Xenopus tropicalis: one gene and its partners. The protein of the gene in region 2 interacts with the protein of the main gene of each other region in a pairwise test. Links are inferred from orthologs where the notes say so. Each region holds a gene or a part of one and is shown on either strand. Other genes may lie near its edges.

The links. The genes of interacting proteins can lie anywhere in the genome.
Region 1: the proteins of pogz (region 2) and nfya interact in binary tests that used the Homo sapiens proteins (3 or more experiments, as listed by UniProt). The two-hybrid records come from large-scale screens. The link is inferred for Xenopus tropicalis from reciprocal best matches to the Homo sapiens genes POGZ and NFYA.
Region 3: the proteins of pogz (region 2) and zxdc interact in binary tests that used the Homo sapiens proteins (3 or more experiments, as listed by UniProt). The link is inferred for Xenopus tropicalis from reciprocal best matches to the Homo sapiens genes POGZ and ZXDC.

What each region holds. Positions count from the first base shown.
Region 1 is NC_030678.2:71,392,284-71,394,943, forward strand, and holds part of nfya (nuclear transcription factor Y subunit alpha), read right to left. Parts: intron 2,297-2,660; coding exon 2,195-2,296; intron 1-2,194. UniProt on the Homo sapiens protein: Component of the sequence-specific heterotrimeric transcription factor (NF-Y) which specifically recognizes a 5'-CCAAT-3' box motif found in the promoters of its target genes.
Region 2 is NC_030684.2:144,795,514-144,799,636, reverse strand, and holds the start of pogz (pogo transposable element with ZNF domain), read right to left. Parts: upstream 2,834-4,123; 5' UTR 2,626-2,833; intron 2,502-2,625; exon of another isoform or gene 2,480-2,501; intron 1,204-2,479; 5' UTR 1,150-1,203; intron 1-1,149. UniProt on the Homo sapiens protein: Plays a role in mitotic cell cycle progression and is involved in kinetochore assembly and mitotic sister chromatid cohesion.
Region 3 is NC_030680.2:133,011,609-133,015,157, forward strand, and holds the end of zxdc (zinc finger protein ZXDC), read left to right. Parts: coding exon 1-334; intron 335-423; coding exon 424-508; intron 509-917; coding exon 918-1,078; intron 1,079-1,725; coding exon 1,726-1,827; intron 1,828-1,938; coding exon 1,939-2,025; 3' UTR 2,026-3,015; downstream 3,016-3,549. UniProt on the Homo sapiens protein: Cooperates with CIITA to promote transcription of MHC class I and MHC class II genes.

The DNA of each region.
Region 1 (2,660 bases), on a different chromosome or scaffold from region 2:
AGGAGGTATTTGAGATTTTGAGTTGGCCAGAATATAAATTCTTGTAGGTTTCTGAGATGTGGGAGATAGGAGTTGCCCCAAATTGGGAGCCTAGCTGAGACCAATGGTGGGTTTCTTTTATGGAGTTTCAGGGCTGCAATCCAATTCCTAAACGGCACAGAGAGTGTAGTGGGTACTTAAGGGAAATCGTTAGCATGTCGGTAGGGAAAGTTACTCATCCCTTCTATTGAGCCCAAAATGAGAGCCTGAAGTGTCATGTTTGGGTTATAGGGGTCTGGGAGGAAGCACCAATGTAGATAATATATCTGCGAAACCATGTAGTACAACTGTAGATTTGGAAGCGCCAACCCTCCATCTGCATAGGAGGCAGTTAGTTTCTCCTATGAAATACGGGGTTGTTTGTTGACCCACAAAAAGGGAAAAAGTATTTTATTAATTTTTTTTAAATACTTTGGCAGTGAAATATACTGGAGCATTATGGAAAATATATAAAAACTTTGGTAGATAGATCATCTTAAAGATGTTGACTCGCCCCCATAGAGTTAGTGGCAGTTTGGCCCAATTCTCCATATCATTCGTGAGAGAGGTTATATCAGGGGTTAAGTTGTGGGGTATATATTAATCGAGACCTGAGTGTATTGTGATGCCCAGGTACTTGAAGGAGGAGACCCATTTGAGAGGAGTATCTACTGCCAGGGCTGGAGGGCTAGGATTGTCTAGGGAATAGAGGACCGATTTTTCCCAGTTTATTTTTAATCCTGAGAAGTTCCCAAATTGGTTGACTGTTTGCAGCAGGGCAGATAGGGATGCATCGGGGTCAGCTAGATATATAAGGAGATCGTCTGCGAAAAGTGAGACTTTTTCGGTTATTGTTTGATAGGTGAGGCCTTTAATAGATCGTGAGTCCCTGATACGTATAGCCAAGGGCTCGACTGCTAGGGCAAATAAAATGGGGGATAGGGGGCATCCTTGTCTTGTACCCCTCGTCAGGGGGAACAAGGCCGAGGTAATCCCATTTACCCTGACACACGCTTTTGGAGCGTTGTATAGAAGTTTTACCCATGTGATGAATCTTGGACCCAGGCCAAACTTTCTCAGCGTTTCCCACAGGTATGGCCATTCGAATAAAAGGCCTTGGCTGAGTCTAGAGAGGCGATGATTCTGGAACCTTTCTCTGCGTGTGTCAGTTGCAAATTGGTGTATAGACGTCTGATATTGAAGGCTGTAGACCTTCCTGGCATAAATCCTGATTGATCAGGGTGTATGAGGTCAGCTATAACCCTCTTGAGCCTATTAGCCAGGATTTTTGCTAGTATTTTTGCGTCAGTGTTCAAGAGGGAAATAGGGCGATAGGAAGAGCAGTCAGATGGGTCTTTCCCTTGTTTAGGGATTACCACTATTTGAGCTTCTAGTTGGGATGGGGGGGGGGGGGAACATCTTTGTATCATATGCATACTGTAGGGTTTTCAAAATGTGGATTGACATTGGTTTCGATAGGGTTTTGTACCACTCCGAGGGGAGTCCATCTGGGCCTGGGGTTTTATTGGGGGGTAGGTCTGCTATGGCCTGTTCTATTTCTTTGGTGGATATTGGGTGGTCTAGGAATGCCCGGGAGCCTGGGGATAGTGTCGGTATTGTGATAGTATCTAAATATTGGGAGAGTTGAGTAGGGGTATAGTTTACCGTAGAGGTGTACAGTTTTTGGTAAAACACTGCAAATTCTTGTGCTATAAGAGAGAGCTCAGTGACCCATCTCCCTGTTGAGGTTTGGATTCTTGCTACTGCAGAGGGAGAGGTTTGGGCCTTGGCTAGAAAAACCAGGAGTTTGCCATTTTTGTCTCCTTTTTCGAAGGTTCGTTGGGACTGGTATAGGATAGCTTTTTTGGTGAGAGTTGTTTCTTCTCTCTCTAGAGCATTCCTGGCTTGGAGTAACTTATTATAGGAGAGGTCTGAGGGTGAGAGAATGTGTTCTCTCTCTGCTTGGGTCAGCTCCTCCTCTGCTTGTTTCACTTGGCCTTTAGCGTTGTTACGGGCCTGTGCTATTGCCTGAGCTAGAGTTCCCCTCACAGCAACCTTAGATGCATCCCAGACTGTACTTGGGGAGGCCGTGTTTGTGTTGGTAGTCCAGTATTCCTCATAAGCCTCTACATTTCTGTAAGCCATCATTATTATTGTTTTTTCATGTATCTTTTACCTGTAAATGATGACTCTCTTTTTCTTTAGGGGAGAAAAAACGTCCACCATCCCCTCTCTTTCTAGCCATAGCATGGCGATGCCTGGACTCATGCAAATATTTCTGAGAAAGAAAAAGATTGTATTACACAATGCAGCTGGACAAAGGTATATTTATGGTATCAAAAAAATTGTAACTACATTTCAGCAGTGCATTTTCCAGAGCATTTTGCAATACCAAAGGCCCAGGATTTAATTTACCAGGCAGATTTCTTCCAACGTGGGAAAGTCATTCAGCATATTAAGCACTCTAAGCAGTATCTGCTCTGTGTGGAGAGGTGTAAGAAAGAAGCATCTTATCTGCAGCTCATTTAAGATCTTGTGTGTGTCTGCAGGCCCTCTAACACCACAAATCAGATACTTTTAGAAAATTACATTTAAATGTAAAATTTTACTTTATTGGGGGTGTTACGGATGCCGTAGTTAAT
Region 2 (4,123 bases):
TGACCCCAGAGCTGACACGCGTTTTGGGTTCTGTTAAATCTGTAAAACACAGAGCGCCAAATGAAGCAGGGCGTGGCTTCCCTATGCAGACTCCGCCCATTATAACCAGCAAATGGGGGGGGGGGGGGGGGTGAGAGTTTAGTGTATCTGCCATGCTGAAATAAAGACCCACGTGGAACCCCATGAAAATTCTGAGGAGACCTAAATGCAAAAGAGTCAGGGTGTTCTTGTTGCCACAAAGTCAGTTCCGGGGTATGGACTGGGGTATTAGAGGCAGTAGGCATTCTGCAACCATGCTTGGGGGCTACATATACCCCTGTACTGCTTCATACTCATACTTTGGGGTTTATAAATCCTTCATGGTTCCATTTCAGGGGCTGCTGGGAAATGGAACAACTAATGTACCAACTGTAACAGTTGCTATGGGTCAGACGTTAGTAACGCTCAGGGAGCATACTCAGTAGGGGCTGAAGGGGCTGCTGGGAAATGGACCAACTAATGGACCAACTGTAACAGTTGCTATGGGACAGGCATTAGTAACGCTCAGTGAGCATGCTCAGTAGGGGCTGAAGGGGTTGCTGGGAAATGGACCCACTAATGGACCAACTGTAACAGTTGCTATGGGACAGGCATTAGTAACGCTCAGTGAGCATGCTCAGTAGGGGCTGCAGGGAAATGGACCAACTAATGGACCAACTGTAACAGTTGCTATGGGACAGATGTTAGTAACGCTCAGGGAGCATGCTCAGTAGAGGCTGAAGGGGCTGCTGGGAAATGGACCAACTAATGGACCAACTGTAACAGTTGCTATGGGACAGGCATTAGTTATGCTCAGTGAGCACGCTCAGTAGGGGCTGAAGGGGCTTCTGGGAAATGGACCCACTAATGGACCAACTGTAACAGTTGCTATGGGACAGGCATTAGTAACGCTCAGTGAGCATGCTGAGTAGGGGCTGCAGGTAAATGGACCAACTAATGTACCAACTGTAACAGTTGCTATGGGACAGACGTTAGTAACGCTCAGGGAGCATGCTCAGTAGGGGCTGAAGGGGCTGCTGGGAAATTGACCAACTAATGTACCAACTGTAATAGTCCAACCAATAGTCCAACCTCCTACATACAGCGACAGAGCCGAGAGTCCAACAGTACCTTCTATTTGATCCCTGGACACGGAGAATTCAGCTGCAAGTTCTGCCTTTAATCCTAAAAACATCAAAAATAAATAGAAATCATTATTTCGCAATTATGGTTCATTTACAATAACCCAACAGAACTCGGCTCCCCGGTGCTCTGGGCCCAGCGCCCGGTACACATTGTGCAACTTCCAACGAAATTCCGTTTGGGGCTCAATTTGGTATGATCCGAGGGCAGAACAAGAACTTTGTGCCCAAAGGTAACCATGGTAACGACCCAGAGTTCCTATATCCCACAGGAGAGAATATATGGACACAAACGGAATGGACCTGCTGGTTTCCCTTTGGGCTAAACATTAATCTGTAACAATGGCCCCTTTATTGGAGCTCCCTATAGATCCTCTCAGGTCCCTGTCTGGGTTTCATATGAGGGGTGGGCGTGTCCCAACGGTCCCTGCCAGAAGCACAGTAGGAGTGGGAGAACCAATCACAAGCACAGACAGCCTTCGGGTCCCTATCAGGTCAGCCTAGCTGCTGATTGGTTCCTGTGCTAAGGTGAAGTGGGCGGGCCTGGGAAAGGAACCAGCAGGAAGTGGGACAGATGGGCGGGACTAGTGGAGTTTTATAAAGATATTTTCAATAAATACACCCAAAACACTACTTTTTAAAGCCCATTCCTTCTATAGGGAGATAAGTACAATTCATATGTTTTTTTCACGCAATATTTCCCCTTTAAACCCTAACAGGTTCCAATTTCATTGGCTAAAGCCGGAGATCACGGATTGGGCAACTGGATTCGCATAAATGCGGTTCTACGGCCACAGAGTGAAACCCGCGGGGCTGGGAATCCCTTCGGCCTGAGGAAGGGGGCAAATAAAGGCCCAAACGTTGGGCGCGCACATCTCTATGATATATATATATGGGCCAGTTGGCCAGTACATGACAGGGATAGCTGTGTGCATTCAGGCAGCCATATATATATATATATATATATATATATATATATATACACACAGAGTCAAACCCGCGGGGCTGGGAATCCTTGCGGCCTGAGGAAGGGGGCAAATAAAGGCCCAAACGTTGGGCGCGCACATCTCTATGATATATATATATATGGGCCAGTTGGCCAGTACATGACAGGGATAGCTGTGTGCATTCAGGCAGCCATATATATATATATACATACACAGCAATATAATAATAATATAGTTGTGCCTGAGGGGCCCCTTGGTGCTGCCATTGTCCCACCCCTCACTTGTGTGAGCCCCCCATTCCCCTTGGTGCTGTCCCACCCATGGGTGCTGATGCTTACACCCCACTACAGACTCACAGCAGGGAGCCCTCACCCCTACACCATGCTCCTCCTCACAAAATAATCCCCATGAAGCAACATGGAGGTGGAAGGTTACATTGTGGCCTGGACTCCCGCACCCCGACACTGCAGGGCCCCAGGGCCTACCCGTACATCCTTCCCGCCCACTCGGCCTCTTACCTCCTCCTACTGCCGCGCAGCCCCGTTCGCTCCCAGGCTCGGTCCCGCCCCGGGGTTCCCTCCCCCCGGTCACACCCGCCGGACACTAACCGCCAGCTGCGTACAAAGAGGGGAGAGCGGCGCGGAGGGACACGGGCCACACGGCGCGGATGGATACCGTGACTTCATTTCCTCCGCGTCTCCTGATTGGCTGCTTGCCTGAGGCGGTCCGTGACGTCACGGCTGCAAGGCCCTACCCTTGATGGAATAGACAGGGGCAGCAACAGTGTGAAATAACAATGGCTCAATGTGTTTTAATATGGCTGTCACTGCAACAATATGGCTGCTTCTGTCTTTAATCAATGGCCTCCTGCTTCCCTGTTAGTAGCAATATGGCTGCCTGTGTCAGTAATGAAAATATGAAATGGCCCAATGGCCCTATTTAAAATGGCTTCCACTTTAATATTGTGGCTGCTTGTGGTACTAATGACTGTGTGTAATAACAAAGGCCTTCTACTTCCCTATGTGTAGCAATATGGCTCCCCTGTCATTAATAACTAAAAATAACAATGGTCCAATTTAATATGGCTGTCAGTGTCATAATATGGCTGCTTGTGTCAATAATAGTGTTTAATAACAGTGTCTTCCTGTGTGTAGCAATATGGCTGCCTGTGTCACTAGTAACTGTGTGTAGTAACTGTGTGTAATAACAGTGTACTATGTGTGTCAGTGTGTCATTAGAAAGTCTGTCATAACAATCTTTCTGTGTGTAGCAATATGGCTGCCAGTGTCACTAATAACTATGTAGAATAATAATTGTCCAATGGCTGTTTAATATGGCTGTCAGTGTAACAATATGGCTGCTTCTGTCTTTAATTACTGTCATATCAATGGCCTCCTGCTTCCCTGTTAGTAGCAATATGGCTGCCTGTGTCATTAATGAAAATATGAAATGGCCCAATGGCTATTTAATATGGCTTCCACTTTAATAATGAGGCTGCTTGTGGTACTAATGACTGTGTGTAATAACAATGGCCTTCTACTTCCCTATGTGTAGCAATATGGCTCCCCTGTCATTAATAACTGTAAAAATAACAATGGTCCAATTTAATATGGCTGTCAGTGTCATAATATGGCTACTTGTGTCAATAATAGTGTTTAATAACAGTGTCTTCCTGTGTGTAGCAATATGGCTGCCTGTGTCACTAGTAACTGTGTGTAATAACAGTGTAATATGTGTGTCAGTGTGTCATTAGAAAGTCTTTCATAACAATCTTTCTGTGTGTAGCAATATTGCTGCCAGTGTCACTAATAACTATGTAGAATAATAATTGTCCAATGGCTATTTAATATGGCTGTCAGTGTAACAATATGGCTGCTTCTGTCTTTAATTACTGTCATATCAATGGCCTCCTGCTTCCCTGTTAGTAGCAATATGGCTGCCTGTGTCATTAATGAAAATATGAAATGGCCCAATGGCCCTATTTAAAGGAACAGTAACACCAAAAAATGAAAGTGT
Region 3 (3,549 bases), on a different chromosome or scaffold from region 2:
AGATGATGTGCAGACAGTGAATGCAGAAGCTTTGGGTTCCCTGGCATCTTTATCCATGAGAGGTTCAAGCCAGGATATTCAAGGTCTGACATCCAGTAATAGTCTGACCATTGACTCCACTTTAACGCCCTCAGTGAGCCTTGGAGCTAGCAGTTCCGTGCCAGAATTGCTGACCCCACCAAAAACGGACAGGAGTTTGATTCCAAACCCTGAGGTTGTGGGAGAACAGGAAGGAAGTAAAGTTGTAACACAGTTTGCATTCTCCAACCCCACTGGTAGTTATAGTGCACAGAAAGAGATGGATTACAGTTTGACAGCTGGGAGCTCCAGTTTGGTAAGTAGCTATATGTTGTATTTGGTGTTAAAAGCATTGAAAAGCCTTGTTATTCTGAGGATTAATATTGGAAATGTAATTCTTTTAAACAGGAGAGTGGCGGTTCAGCGAGAACAGATTACAGAGCCATTCAACTAGCCAAGAGCAAAAAGAAGGGGGGTTCTGCCGGTGCAGGTAGGAAATGCTCATTATGTGTAACCAGTGGTGCTTCCTTTGTGGGGCAGTAAGGGAAAACCTTGTAAAGGGGTGGAGAATTAAAGTGGCTGAGAGATTGTAATACTGAGTAGCTTGAATGCCTATGATAGTTGTGTTATAAAAATGAAACGCCCATTTTCCTGGTGAACAAATAAGCCCAATAAATTGTACAGATTTGTTACGCAACTGAAATAATTTTCGTAAAAGAATGATTGTTCTTCACCTCTTGTATCAGTTATTGATTGGCTTATATGTTACTCTGTATGTCCAACGTATGAAACCCACTTATTGTACAGCGCTGCGGGATATGTTGGCGCTTTATAAATAAATGTTAATAATAATAATTGTTCTGACTGCTGCATATTCTATTTGGATTTGTTAAATAAAGGGACTTCACCTACACAGAGGAAGAGCAAAAGTGCAAAGCAGAGCCCAGTGGCATCCTCCAGTGGCAGCAGATTTGGAAGCAACGCAGTTATGTCTAATGGCGGACTGACGCTACGAGACCCTGCTACTGGGGCCCAGTATGTGCAGATTCAGCTTCTACAGGTAAATGGCATTGACAAAGCTTTGGGCTTTGCTATAGACCAGTGATCCCCAAGCAGTGGCTCATGAGTAACATGTTGCTCACCCCCGCCACCTGCTTATCTTGTACCCAGTGGCCTCAAAGTAGGTGCCAATATTTCTCTTTCTGGCTTGGGGCAAGTTTTGGAAGCACAAAGACTATAATCCAAGCAGAGTCTCCTGCAGGCCAGCAGTTCACTTCGCTTCCAAATAGCCAATCACGGTCCTTATTTTAAATTCTCAAGATACTTTCTTCATGCTTGTGTGGCTCACCAACACTTTTTACATCTGTGTGTGGCTCACAATTAAAAAAGTTGGGGATCCCTGCTGTAGATTGTCCCTTGGCCTTTATTACCTAGAGCAGGAATGTCACTGTTCTTACACACATCCTCAAATGCTTACAGTAGATGGAGATTGTTTTTCATTGTTACACTGCACAGCGCTGCCCAGAGATAATTGAATCATGAAGCCTTTTATGGTGTTTAGTCTTGTGTAGCTTGTAGGACAATTGCAGTTCCCTTTGTTAGAATGACATTATATAATAAATAATCTATATAAGAAATAAACCATCAGACACCCCTGGCATAGTTGGTTTCTTTGTTCTCACTGTACTGCTGCTTTACTGCTTTCAGGATGATCCTCCAGGAGATGGAGACCTGCCTTTCCAGCTGAACGCTCAGTCTCCAGCATCACATGCCCAGCTCACTGTTGATCTGCCAGTACATATACTGCAGGTATGCCTACTTAGCGCCCATAGCTGTTCCTCCTTTCAGTTCTGAAACCCAAACGCATCCATTCTTTATTGCTTGTGTCCTTCACACACTGCTTTTGTCCCTTCGTTTCAGGAGCCTCACACTTCAACAGAGGAGGACGTGGCTTCAGATAATTCTCAGTTTACAGGAAGTACAATAAATCTGCAAGACCTGGAATAAGGGGTATTAAACTTCAGTATCGGGACAATGAAGCTGCCAGTATCTAGTGCTGCCTTTTTGCAGCATATTCCTCAAGCTGGACCAATAAATCTATAATGATGGCATTTTCTTATTGCACTATATTCTATGCTTTTACCCAGATGGTTTTCATATAAACGGGATGTTTATTTTTGAGGAAGAATTCTGGGGGCTGTTTTTTTTTTTGTGGTTGCTCATCACCCATCCGAAAAGACTGCGAATGTGGAATAGAATGGATTTCTAAGCAGAACTTACTGCCTGTTTTTTAATGAACAAAATATTCTTGTTTCCTACTTGTGATGTCCCCAATCTCCCAAAATGGATCATGGTTCAAGTCAAAGATTTCCTGATGCTCTGTAGGTATTAATAAGAGATCTCGTTAGAGACTGCATTATCTACCTCCTATAAAGACTCCCAGTGTTAAGTTTCCGGATTGTGCACAAAGTACAAGCTGCGGGCACCACTGATTCCATTACAAAAAAGAATGTATTGTTTTTTTTGTAAATAATAATTGCTAATATTTATTGGAGTGCATGTTGCTGGAGCCCATGTGCTTTGTTTGGCCGGTTTGTGGGGTACCAAAACCAGAGGGGTCCCCATGATTGAACAGATGTTGCACAGAGTACATAGGACCTAAACTGTGGTTTCATTTTTATATGTTTCTGAATATAGGGGTGCCCTCGCTGCTGCAGCAGTGCAGCCCCAACACAGCAGGGCCACAATTAATATCTCTTGACTGTAAAATTCTCTTCTCAGAATGGGCCTAAACCATCCTTCATTGCTGGGGCACCTTTCTCTTAACTCCAGTTCTTGTGTTGTATTTTTTTTGTACAAAAGTGTACAATTGTAAATGACTGTACATAAATATATATATATACGTATTTTCCCTCTTACATCACATGACCTTCTGAATTTTTTCTGGCTCTAAGAAAACATATTCTGAGTATTGTTATAAAAGTGTTTATCAAGCAATTTAGTGTTTGTCCTTAACATTATGCAATTTGAAGAGAAGGTAAATGGTTTTCCCCATGTTAGGTCTATTAAATGTATTTTAAAGTGAATCTATCACAGTAAAAGTGTTTCCCTCACTGGAGGTGCAGACTAATATAGTCTGAGCTCCGGTTAGGAAATAGTACTATTTGGGCAAGGTAATTCTCCTACTGCACTAGCAGTGTGGGCAGCTATGTTTTGTAATAAGCAGGCTGGAGCGTTTCTCATTATTCACATGCTTTAGAATCCCAGCATGGCCGCCTGAACCAAGAGCCCCCCTCCTGGTGGGGGTGGCATTTTTTTTACTGGGAGAATTTTCTGGCCCAAATAGTATTGTTTTCCCCAAACAGAGTGTGCACCTCCAATGGGGGAAAATCATTTTACTATGATAGGTGCCTGTTAAGTTTATAATCTGTGTGTATTTGAATATCTACTACATATGGGGTTCCTTGTTGACACCTGGTGGTACCTGAACTATAACAAAGCTCTTCCTGAAGTCACTTACTGGCTGTTTGT